Linked DNA regions of Ovis aries. The protein of the gene in region 2 purifies or fractionates together with the protein of the main gene of each other region. This does not show direct contact. Links are inferred from orthologs where the notes say so. Each region holds a gene or a part of one and is shown on either strand. Other genes may lie near its edges. The genes, in order: IFT57, CORO1A and POC1A.

What was found.
Region 1: the proteins of CORO1A (region 2) and IFT57 purify together in Homo sapiens (affinity purification with mass spectrometry; 3 studies listed by BioGRID and IntAct, counting the BioPlex papers as one, with this or other methods). This does not show direct contact. The link is inferred for Ovis aries from reciprocal best matches to the Homo sapiens genes CORO1A and IFT57.
Region 3: the proteins of CORO1A (region 2) and POC1A purify together in Homo sapiens (affinity purification with mass spectrometry; 3 studies listed by BioGRID and IntAct, counting the BioPlex papers as one, with this or other methods). This does not show direct contact. The link is inferred for Ovis aries from reciprocal best matches to the Homo sapiens genes CORO1A and POC1A.

What each region holds. Positions count from the first base shown.
Region 1 is NC_056054.1:173,993,068-173,997,175, forward strand, and holds the start of IFT57 (intraflagellar transport protein 57 homolog), read right to left. Parts: upstream 2,847-4,108; 5' UTR 2,757-2,846; coding exon 2,545-2,756; intron 1-2,544. UniProt on the Homo sapiens protein: Required for the formation of cilia. Plays an indirect role in sonic hedgehog signaling, cilia being required for all activity of the hedgehog pathway.
Region 2 is NC_056077.1:26,650,448-26,654,633, forward strand, and holds the start of CORO1A (coronin-1A), read right to left. Parts: upstream 2,835-4,186; 5' UTR 2,678-2,834; coding exon 2,322-2,677; intron 1,866-2,321; coding exon 1,667-1,865; intron 525-1,666; coding exon 402-524; intron 305-401; coding exon 175-304; intron 89-174; coding exon 1-88. UniProt on the Homo sapiens protein: May be a crucial component of the cytoskeleton of highly motile cells, functioning both in the invagination of large pieces of plasma membrane, as well as in forming protrusions of the plasma membrane involved in cell locomotion.
Region 3 is NC_056072.1:48,823,043-48,826,650, reverse strand, and holds part of POC1A (POC1 centriolar protein homolog A), read right to left. Parts: intron 3,439-3,608; coding exon 3,305-3,438; intron 1-3,304.

The DNA.
Region 1 (4,108 bases), on a different chromosome or scaffold from region 2:
ATTGTTTCTTACCTCACAAATTAAATCAAAACTCTGGGGAGTGAAGTCCGGGGTAGATATGTTTCAAAAGCTTCCTAGATAGTTCTAAGGTTCAGCCAGGATTAAGAACCACTGCCTGTGTATATCCCAGTCTAACAAACATTTGTGGACTTTAGGTTAAAGCCCCTAGCCTCTTAAAAATAGCCCTATGAGAACCAACATGATTCACACCTAAACTTTTAAGGAATAAAACCTGTAAGCCACAGCATTTTTTACTTTGATCAAAGACCTTATTTTGCTTTTATGTGAAGCTATTACTATTGTTTACAATTAGATTTATAGATACTATAACTATTTTTCATAAGAATCAGCAATCTACTCCTTCCTGATTTTTTTCCAGTTTTTTTTTCCTTCCCAATTTTTCTCTTGCAGGATAGTTTAAATGTTCTGGAAAATAACAGCTGGGAGGGAAAAAAAGGCTATGAAGTCCTTCCAAATAGGTATATGTTCACCCACTACTAATAATTTTTTTTTTCCCTTATTAGCTGATAACAACTCCAGGACAGAGGAATGGATACTGATAGATACTGGAGACCCAAGACAGTTCAGTTCAGTTCAATAGCTCAGTCGTGTCTGACTCTTTGTGACCCCTTGGACTGCAGCACACCAGGCTTCCCGGTCCATCACCAACTCCCGGAGTTCACTTAAACTCATGTCCATTGAGTTGGTGATGCCATCTAACTAGCGCATTCTCTGTCATCCCCTTCTCCTCCCACCTTCAATCTTTTCCCAGCATCAGGGTATTTTCAAATGAGTCAGTTCTTCACATCAGATAGCCAAAGTATTGGAGCTTCAACATCAGTCCTTTCAATGAACACCCAGGACTGATCTCCTTTAGGATGTACTGGATGGGTCTCCTTGCAGTCCAAGGGACTCTCAAGAGTCTTCTCCAATACCACAGTTCAAAAGCATCAATTCTTCAGCGCTCAGCTTTCTTTATAGTTCAACTCTCACATCCATACATGACTACTGGAAAAGCCATAGCCTTGACTGGACAGACCTTTGTTGGCAAAGTAATGTCTCTGCTTTTTAATATGCTGTTTAGGTTAGTGGTTCTCAAACTTAAGTGGGTATCAGAATCACCTGGAAGGCTTGTTGCAAAAGCAGACTTCTACACCTCACCCTCTAAGATTTCTGATATACTGGACTCAGGAAAGGGCCTGTAGGATTACACTTCTAATAAGTTCCCAGGTGATGCTGATGTTGCTAATCTGTTGACCATACTTTGAGAACCTTTAGACTAGGATATTTCCATGCAAATCCATGACTCAAAGTACCCTCCTGAACTTCTGAGGAAATAACAGATTGTTATCAACAAAATCTTAAAGCCAATTTATTTTTGTTTGAAAAATATACTTGGAGAAAAAAAACATTTTTATTAACAGAAAATGTTGACTGTTTATGAATTACCCTATTCATTTAAGTAATAACTTCCAATCTTACAATTTATATCATGGATCAAACAACATTATTTCTTCCTCTAACTTTTCTATTATGGACTGGCTTAGCAATATGGGCAGTTTACATGAAGCCAACATTATCTTCTAATGGAAGTTACTGGAAGAGAGTAAGGAATTAAATTTAAACTGTCAAGGTAAATAATTTGAAAATAATTTGAGCCTAGGTATAGTCATTTAGAGAAAGTACTACAGATTCTTAAACTAAATTGCCTCTTACACAATTAAACAAAAACAAAAATTTAATACAAAAAAAAAAGTATTAATGTGAAGGAAATCTACAAAGTTTATGAGGCCTATCACTAGGCTACACTAATTTAAAGAGAAAGTTCTGGCTGTCCATCATCCTCAGCAAGTAATACCAGCCGCGGCTTCAGAATATGATGGACTTTCCCCCCAACAGAATAGAGCAGAACTTCAGGTTCTATGAAAAGAGACAATTCCATTGTCACTTCATTTGTCTTGTTCACTTCTCAGTTTCCAAAAGTACTGTTACTGCAAAGACAGAAATCTTTTAAAAGATAGCAATTAGTGAACAAGTTTACTAACCACTTATAAAATGCACAAGTAGGTGTCCGATACAAAAGTTACAAGTTGTAGGGACAAATTCTCGAAAAGGAAAACAAAAACTAGAAACAGCTAAACTGATTATGGCATTCATCTTTGAGGATGAGATCATGAGTGACTGCAGTACTTTACACATTGTAAGTTTTCTGAGTTTTCTAAGAGGTTGTTTTATTATGTTTACAATCAGGAAAAAAAAAAAAAAGTTTGCGTTTTATGGAGCTGCGTGAGTGCTCTAGGCAAGCTGCCTTCCAGTCCTATTTGAAGTTCCAAAACTTTACTCTCGCTACAAAAATACCAAGTCTAAACTCCGTGAGCAGTCCGGCCCTACGTCGCCAAGTTTGGGGTGAAGTGCTCTTTCCTGCGTAGGAAGACAGAGGCAAGTGCTTGGTAACCCGCGCTCGGAGTTCCCCCAAAGGCCAGAGGAAGGCTTCTCCCCAGGGCCCAGCCGGCTTCCAGGCGCTCGGGGGACGAGGGCACCCACCTGGACGGGGGCTTCAGGTTGTTCTTCCGGAGGAGATCCTCCTCATAGCGGAGCAACTTCAGCTTCTCCACCAGGTCCTCCATCACCACAAACATGTGGTAGGCCGCGCCGGGGCCCCTCTCCACGACCACCTCCCCCGCTCCTTCGCCGCGGGACCGAGACACCTCATCCTCCAAACCCGACGGGGTGACCACTGCGGCGGCGGCTGCCATCACGGAACAGACCGAAAGAGCCCAGCGCGAGGTCTGACCCACAGACCTCCGCGGCCTGCGCTGGCGCAGCCAGGACCAGCGAGGCCGGTTACCCAGGCGACCCGGGCACACCAACAGGAAAATTAGACTCCGCCCCCTTCCCCCGCTCCAACGTTCTAAATTCCCTCCAACCAGGGAGGGCTTCCTTGCGGGCGTCACGTCTGGCTCCTGCCCCCTTCCCCCGCCCCTTCCCCCGCCTCTGGAGAGGCGGAGGCTGAAGCAGCCCCGCCCCATAGGCGTGGCATTCTCCTAGTCACGTTGGGCCACGCCTCCTACCGCTTCATTTTAAAGAGGGAGGGTCTGCGGGCGTTTCTGTTGTGCTTTCTTGATGGTCCTTAGGAGGCTCTAGGAGACTTGGAACGGTCCTCAAGAGCCCCTGAGTCGGCGTCTGAGTCAGCTGGTAGCAGATAAAAAGATTAAAGAGAGAGGAAGGCGTGCAGTATTGAAGGCTACCATAGCCCACTGGTATCTTTTTAATTTTTCGTTTTCAAATTGAAAGTTTTCACAGTTGTAAAGATATTCGATATCATCGGTTTCCCTTTACTTCAGGAGTTTTCCAAAGAGAATTTTCCTTATTTTTCTTAATCTTTCTCTCATTCGGGAATGCAGTATTTGATTTAACAGTATATTGCAAGATTTGAAGTATTATAATTCTCTGCTGTTACTCCAGGGATGAGAAAAGTTGTTGGTTGGGAGGGGAAGAAAAAAGGCAGAGGATAAGCAGAAAGGAGGCATAAGAAAGTGTTTGTTGTACCTCAGAAACAAAAATTCTAAACTCACATCCTGCTGTTTAATCAAGGCCATTACATGTTGTGTCAAGTTTTGGGGTGGCTTGTTAAAATAGCAAAGGAGATAATCTTGAGAGGAATTCCCTGCCCTGTAGCTCTAAGTGTGGCTAATGACAGAATGTTACTACTGTACTGTGCAGCTGTTGACCTGGAAAATACCAATACAAGGAAGGGGGCATAACTGACTGCTTTACAGGTCTCAAAAAGAAACTTTTGTGTATTAAGCAGTTTTCCTACCAGCTATATAAAAAATCAGGTAAGTGGTAGATGCTGGGGGTTTCCTGGGAGATGAAAACTTTTGGCAAGAGGTTGAAACTATGTTTGTGTTTATGTGATTTTTGATCTCTACTTTTATCTGTTACTAGAAAATACAGAGGCCCATTTTTTGACAGAGCTGAAGTCTGAAATTTATTTGTTGTATCTTTTTGTTAGAAAAATGGGCAGAAGAGCACTTCTCATTTTTATATCAGTCTAGACCTAACTTGTTTCTGAGATTTATAAAGGATCAGAATGAAAAATCAGAAA
Region 2 (4,186 bases):
TAGATGGTGTCCGGGTGCACGTCGGAGCCCAGCGTCAGCACGGCCGCCCCCGTGCCCACGTCCCACACCAGGATCACATTGTCGCAACCTGGGCGATGTCCCCAGTGTCAGAAGCCAGGAGCCTCCCCCCTGACTGTCAGGCAACCAGCCCTCCCTGCGTCCCGCCCTTGGCACCTGCACTGAGCAGCACGTTCTGGGCGGTGGGGTGCCAGGCCACAATGCCCACGCGCTTGGTGTGGCCCTCCAGGGTGACGACAGGCTCCCGCAGGGGCAGTGTCAGGCCCCCATCGGGGATCTCCCACACCTGCAGAGAAGGGGCGAGCAAGTGAGTCTTGGCGGTGCCCAACATCAGCTCCAGTGCCTGAGCCCCCTCCTGGCCCCTGGGTGCCCCCCATACTCACCATGACGGAGCAGTCCTCGGAGCCACTGGCAATGACGTTATCATTGTGCGGGCACCAGGCGATGTCCAGCACCGGGGCCGTGTGGCCACAGACCATAGGCACATTCTTGTCTACACGGCCGGTCTGGAGGACACAGCGGGGCCTCTGAGGGAGGTGCTCTGGCCCGCCAAACCCAATCCCACCTCCCCACACCCCTTCAGAGAGGCACAGAGGGGAAAGGTGTGGGGTCCCTGGAAGGCAGAGAGGGACCTAGGGTGGGAGGGTTTGGGGCTCTGCCCATCTCAGAGCTGTCTGGGCAACTCAGAAGGCTGGCCACAGGTAGCGCAGGATGGACATGCGGGCTTGGTCCTGCCCCTCTCTCAGACCCTGGCCAAGTTCCTGCCAGCTCCATCTCAGCCGGGGCCTGGTACCCCCGCCCTCACCCCCACCCCAGATTCTTCCATGGCACAACAGGCCAAGGCCCCCGGCGTGATTCAGGCTGAGGGTGTGGTTGTATCAGGGCTGGGGTTCCCCAGGGAAGTGTGTGTGAATGATGGGGCTGTGGGGACAGGTCCCCCCGAAAGGACAAGGATGGGGAAGTCTGTTATAACGGGTTTGAAATGGCTGCTTCCGGGGACGGCTGCTACAGCACGGTTTCCTGTGTGAAGTGCGGGCCCAGCTCTTACTCTGACAACCACTTCCTCTTCTCTATGTTTCCATCAGCCCTTTTAAGGTAACAACCGAGGGCCCATCTCCCCTTCCTGTCTCACCCCCCAAGAGCACGGGAGTGTGCTGGGGCGGGGGGGTCCGCAGACAGCAGGGAGGGCAGGATTTGAGGGAGGCCAGGGTTGGCGAGGGGAGAGGGTCTCTTACCTCATCCCTGCCTGTGAGCTGGGAGCCACTGAGCTCACTGGCTTCCCAGGGCCTCAGAGAGGTCCCTCCAAACCCTAAGAGCACTGCTGGGCCCACTCAGACCCCATCCCAGGCCTCTCTGTGCAGGAGAAAGCTCCAGGTTGAGACTTGGGAGGGCTAACCCTGGGTCTGCAGGACTTGCTATTTGACACTTCCCGTGTCACTCCCAACCCTGAGCTTCAGCTCCATCCAAGCACTGCATGGAGGCGCTGGAGGAAGTGTAAGGTTCATGCGGCTCAACCCAGTTTTGCAGAGGGCAACACTGCGGCCCACTGTCCTGAGCCGCAGACCTCATCGGGACCCCCAGGGGGCCAACTAGATCACCTGAGGCCCCCTTAGGAGGAGGGCCTGTCCCCAGGGCTCCAGGGGCTCACCTTGCCCAGGGGCAGCACCAGGAAGGCCCCTCCCCCGCTGGCCTCACAGATCAGGGCCACGAATTTGGGGTTGACAGCACAGAAGCCACTATCCCAGGTGTTCTGTGAGACGCGCACATCCTCATAGCACTGGTCAGCCTTGGCCGGCTGTCCAAACACATGGCGGAACTTGCTGGAACGGACCACCTGCCGGCTCATCCTGGTGAGACAGGGGTGAAAGGCTTTGCTCCCCTCAGGTCAACCCTGACCTTCCAGTGGCCCCCATCTCTCCCAGGACACCCACCCCTCAGTCTGGCAGCCATGGTCTCAGCTAACTTCCCTGTCGCTCTCCTCTGTCACTGACATCCAGCTACCCTTATACACGCCTTGCCCACCCCTCCTCATCCCTGGCTGACCTGCAAGGCCCACCGTCTCAACCCGTCCCAAGCCTGGCTTCTGTACCCTCAGCCTCCACAGCAGAGCCTGGGGTGAGGGGTAGCACCTAGTGCCAACTTGACCGCGGACTGGCTGACAGTCCCAGGGCCCATCCTCTCTGACGGGCCACCTTCCAGGGCCTCAGGGCAACAGTGTGGAGGGTGCACTCAGCCTCAGCGTCCAGACCTCACACCCTCACACCCACATGAGGAGCCATCTAAAAGGCAGGGGCCCTCCCCACCTCCAGGTCCAGGCTGGACACACGGAAGGAAATGGCATGTGGGTTTGCCTGGGCGGCATGTCCCCCATGGCCGGAGGGCTTCCCCAGCGGGTCTCTGGGCACCAGAAGCAGGCAGATGGCTCGGGTCCCAGCATCTCCTCCTCACACCTCAGCTTCTCGCCCCCACTTAAGCAGGTGCGCTTAAGGGCCTTCTCCACCCCACTGAAGCCATCCACAGGAAGGAAGCGGCTGGTGCTCACTTCTCGGAGGAGCAGCAAGAACGGTTTTCCTCCATGGCTGGGTGGACAGCGAGCAGAGCCAAGGGACCTGCCTCTGGCTCCCCAGGCTCCAGGCCTCATGCTGGGGCCCCAGAGCATCTCCTGCCAGCTTGGTGTGGGGGCCCCACGGCCTCTCCTCCACCACCTCCCTCGTGCCTAGCCCTTCTCCCTTGGAGCTCCTGCCACCCTCACCTACCCTGGGACTCTGGAGGAGGCTTGTGGGTCCACCTGTCCAGAAAGCGGATGAGGCGCCTGTGAGAGGAGGAGCTGGCTGGGGGCAGGGGACCCTTCCGGGAGGGAAGCTTAGGTCTGGGAACAGGGGAGCCCCAAACTGGAGGCTGGGAGACAGGAAGCCATCGCCCCACCCTGCCTCCTCCCCCACCGCAGGTACCAGGCCCCGGAAACCACGGAAAGGGGAACTTGGCCTTTTCTTGTTTTGCTCTCAACCCCTTCCTGTCTCCAAGCTCAGGGCAGCTACTGGGTTCACCCCACCCTGCCCCCCACCGCCACCCCAAAGACTCCCGTTCTGGGGAGAGGCCGGCGGGTGTCCTGACCCCCGGGCTCCCCCACCTCCATCTTGGCTGCGTGGCCCCTCACCCTCGCCCCCTCACGGAGCTCTGGGACACACGGGTGGACCCTCCCACGCGCACCCACACGCTCAGGCGAGTCCCTCCACGCGGGGCGTGGACGGGCCCCGTCTCCACCTCGGAGCCAGCGGCTCTGACAGTCTGTCCACCCCCACGGCCGGCTTCTGCCAAGCTCTCGCCTGCCCCACAGGTGGCCCAGGGCAGCGATGCCGAGCCCGGGTGGCCGGGCTCCAGCCTTACCTGCGGCTGAGAGATGAGCGACCCCCCAGACGGAGGAGGGCGAGGAGGAGGAGGAGGAGGAAGGAGCCGGCGGAGCCTGAGAACGTCCGCGGAGGATGCTCTTGTCAAGACAATGAATGAGAAGCGGCGGCGCCCGCCTCCTCAGGGGTGGCAGCGCCCCTTTGGGCGGAGCTCTTAAAGGGGAGAGCCCTTCCCTCCGCCAAGGCGCCGCCTCGCCCACCAGCCCGCAGCCTCCCCTCCCTTCCCGCCGCGGCGCTCAGCGCCTCAGCTGCCAATTCCAAACCAAAACAGATGCTGCTGGCCAGTGGCTGAGAATCTAATCTGCACTTTTTTAATGTCAAAAATGCAAAAATAACCTGTTCCTTCTTCCCTTCTCCAGCCCACCCCCAGCCTACTCGCCATCCTTTCCCTGGCATCCATAAAATGGCCCATCAGTCCCTTCAAAGCGGGCCTTAGTATAGCCCTCATCCCAAGCAAAGGCTGTGTTACCATCCTTCTGCCCCACCTCCAGTCAGGAAACAAGTGGAGGCCGAGCGGCAAAGAGGAGGGGGAACCTTGTGTCCACCTGCACCCAGAAGACCTGGGGTCTACTCAGGCCCCTACAGGCACAAATGGGTGGCCTTGGGAGGGTCACTTAACCTCTCGGTGTGTCTTCACCTAGGAGCACCCCCGCCCTGCCTGTCTCCCAGGGGCAAATGATATAATTTGGTGTTATAGAGGTGAAAGAGTCAGAGTTTCTGCCCCAAAGAGCTCTCAGCCCGCTGGAAGGAGAAGCACAAAT
Region 3 (3,608 bases), on a different chromosome or scaffold from region 2:
ACCCCGGTCTTAGCTTTGCGCTTGGCATGTGGCCGTCCTGGTGCTCCTGTGCCTTCAGGAGATGGCAGACTTCTGGCCTCAACCCAAGGCAAGAGAGCTTCTGCCCAACAGCTCTGCCTCCTCGACCCTTCCTTCTCCACTCTGACCCTTTCACGCTCTTCCCCCATTAGAGGTGGTTTAGGCCGGCCCTCTCGCAAGACACAGAGACACTTCCTTGGCACACACAGAGCCCCCTCTCTTGGTCAGGGTCTGGTTCACCCCAGCACCAGCCCCCTGCAGCTGACTCCTCTCAGCTGGCCTCTGACCCCCAGCCTGCACTGTACCTTCTCACAGGTATGGAACTGGAGGCCCAAGGGGGTTGCTGCTCCATGGAGCAGAATAACTCAACAGCCCTCCCTCTAAAGCTCCCTCAGGGCTCTGCCTGAGGGCGATCACAAGGAAGTCCTCAAGTCCAAACCAAAGCTTCAAGGGGATCCCTCTCCCACTGACCAGAATGCTGTCATCCAACAGTGAGGCTGGAACACAAGAAGCCATGAGGCCTGCTGGTTTCCTACACAGACCAGTGATCTATTACTAAGAACAAGAGTGAGATTACAACTCAGCTTCTAACAGTCATACATATGGGGTCAGCGGGTGTGCTGGAAACTGTAGATATGGTTAACTGACCCCGTTCAACAACCGTAAGCTGCCTACCCCATTCTCTGGGCCTCGGTTCCCCCACCAGGACTCAAAGGTGCTTTCAAATCTGCCAACTACTCTGTGGGACAGAATCCCTGGGCATCCGGGGCCACTAGGGAGCCACGGGGCTGCTCAGCCACAGGCTTTAGGAAGTGGCCAGTGACAGCTGTGCTGGGTGAGGCCCTCAGTCACCTCCCAGAACAGAATGTGGATGCTCAAGTCGCCAAGGAGCTCAGCTGCACGTCTTACTGGAAGGACAGGGCCGGGGGCACTTCATGAGGGGGGAGCCTAAGACCAGACGCTGCACAGAGCACGCGGGCAGAGCTGCACTCCTCAGCCATGGTACAGGCCCTCTCCCTGGGGCTTGGCCAGGGCAATACATTCTCCAACAGGGCAACACAGGTGTCCAAGAACTGTTCCAGGGTGGAACCACTCTGGCCTGATAGCACGCACAGACCCTCACAGGTCAGGGACGTTTACGGAGCACACTGGCTCCCAGTGACAGCACAGGTCAAACCTCCACAGGTCTGTCCCCTCAGGGAGAGAAAAGGCACTCTTGCTCCCAGCCCAGACATCCACCTGCTCTAGGTATTCAGGTTGGCTGGTGGGCTGTTTTTAATAACTGCCCCAATCAAGGCTGCTCAACCGCACTATCCTTTCTAAGGAAGGCACACTTAGCTGACTGTGAATCACCCCAAACCCAGGCCCCTAAAGCCCACAGCACACCAGTGCTAAGTGTCTGTATTTGGTGGGAATTTTCAAGGGTCAGAACAGAAACAAATGTGAGCCTCTCACTCCAAGTCCCACTTTGATCTGAGCAGCACTCTGGGGAAGAAGCCCACGCTGCTTCACCTAACCCTCCAAGTATCACCCAAGACCCAACCTGCCTCTCGTTTCGTAACGCATCTCATGCCACCTCAGCTCTGCTGATGGCCCCAGGGAGTCCCCTGCTTGCCAGGCATGAGCCCCAGGGGGTGGGGCCACTGCATCCATTTCAAACCCATGACGCCCAGCCCAGCAAGCTGGGGAGCGGATGACATAATGGACAGGCAGACAGCAAGATGAATAGGGGTGAGCTTGCTTCTCTTTCTTCCCCCTTCCTCTGGGCACTGCAAGCTTGGTGATTCCTGGAGCCATTTCCCATTCTCCACACCCCAAAACTACCAGTTGTCCTCAGCCTAGCTCCCACATTCCAGGTTCAACAGCAGACAGGCAACCACGTGATTTATCGTGGCCCCGTCTTGCTTCTCTGGGAAAACAACATCCACAGGCTTCCATGCTCTGACGCTGGGCCTGAGCTCAGGAATGCCCCTGTAGATGCTGCATTCGAGGCTTCTCAGGCTCAGAGCTGAGTCAGCAGTCTGAAGAGTGCTCACAAGAAAAAGGAAAGAATGGGGTGGTCACCTGGTGTGCACCTGTCTGCACGGTATTTCCGTGCATGGCTTCTCCTTTATCATCGGAACACAAGAGGCAGCAGCCTTCACGTGGTTTCCAAATGCCCTCCTGGTTATAAAACTCCAGCCAAAACTGGTTACACATGAATCTAAGTAATCAAATCGCCAAAGGGATAACCAAAGTGATTCCCCCACAGGCTGACAAGAGCAGCAGTCACCTCAGCCCAGTGGCCGCACATGACGCCCAGATGTGTCAACATCAGAGGAACAGGTCAGAGCTCCTGCACACGAGGCATGTCTCTGACAGACAAGGGATCACCACAGCTGATAGCAAGTGGCCTCCACGTCCCAAGAAAGCAAAAGAAAAGGCCTTGCCCCCACAAGACCCAGCCAAGGCCCTATACACAACTCAGGTGGCAGTGGGATCCAGAGGGCCCTGGGGTAGGCACCTCAACACAGCTGCTGGCCCAAGAGGCACGAGCACCCCAGAGCCTCCCTCAGCCCTCGAGAGTGCCCCCACTCTCCATCCTACCTGCGCCTGCTCACAAATAGAGAAGTGGACAGATGGAAATGCTCTGGTCTCTGCCCCGACAGAAAACACTCTGCTGACCACTCTGCTCAGCAGAAGACACTCAGCCACACCCAGCCCGCCTCCCACAGCCCACCCGCTGAGGCCGGTGCCCAGTCACTGCCCCACAGGGAGCCGAGGCACGGGTGCGTTGCTAAAAGGGGCTCGGAGAGAAAGCCCCTCTCCTCGAGTCAGCTCCGGGAACTCCTCAGCAAACATGTGGGGAGACTTCCCTCCTTCATGCCCACCTCCACGAGGCACCTGCTGTTTCTGCCTCCACAGGGCTCCAGGAGGCTTCATGGCTGTTCACGGAATGGGTCCCAGGGCTCTCCTCAACCGTACCACCAAGGGAGGCTGGAGGTCACTTGGGACAGACTCCATTCAGCCTAGAGAAACCCTGCCAGCCACGTCCAGACGCGTCCCTCCCCACCCTCATCTGACTGAAGCCCTGTGCTCCCTCCTCAGCTGCTGCCCCAGGCCCAGCGCTTCTGCAGAGGTCACAGCTCTCATGGGTAGGACACCTGTTTCTGCACCTCACCCCACTGCCCAGGCTGTGGGGGGATGCAAAACGCTCCAACGGCCCATCAGGCGCCAAGGGAAGGGCCACCTTGAGGCGGCCCCTTCAGCCCACGCCACGCCACCCCGCCCAGGCTGATGCCCTCACCTGATGGCCGTGGAGTGTGTAGAGCAGCCGGCCCTCCATGAGGTCCAGGATCTTCAGGGTTGAGTCGCTGGAGGCCGTGACCAGGTAGTTCCCCGACGGGTGGAAGGAGAGGGCATTCACCGCCGCACTGTGCACTGGGGGAAGGACGGCAGTCAGGCGCAGGCTGGGAGGCCCGTGAAGCCAGAAGACAGCACGCGGGGCCAGCCAGGGCAGCCAGCATCCCGAGCTGCCGTGAGGAGTCTCCCAAGGACTTTCCAGGAGGGCAGCACAAGCAAAGGACAGGAGGCGGCCCACCCAGAGCCGA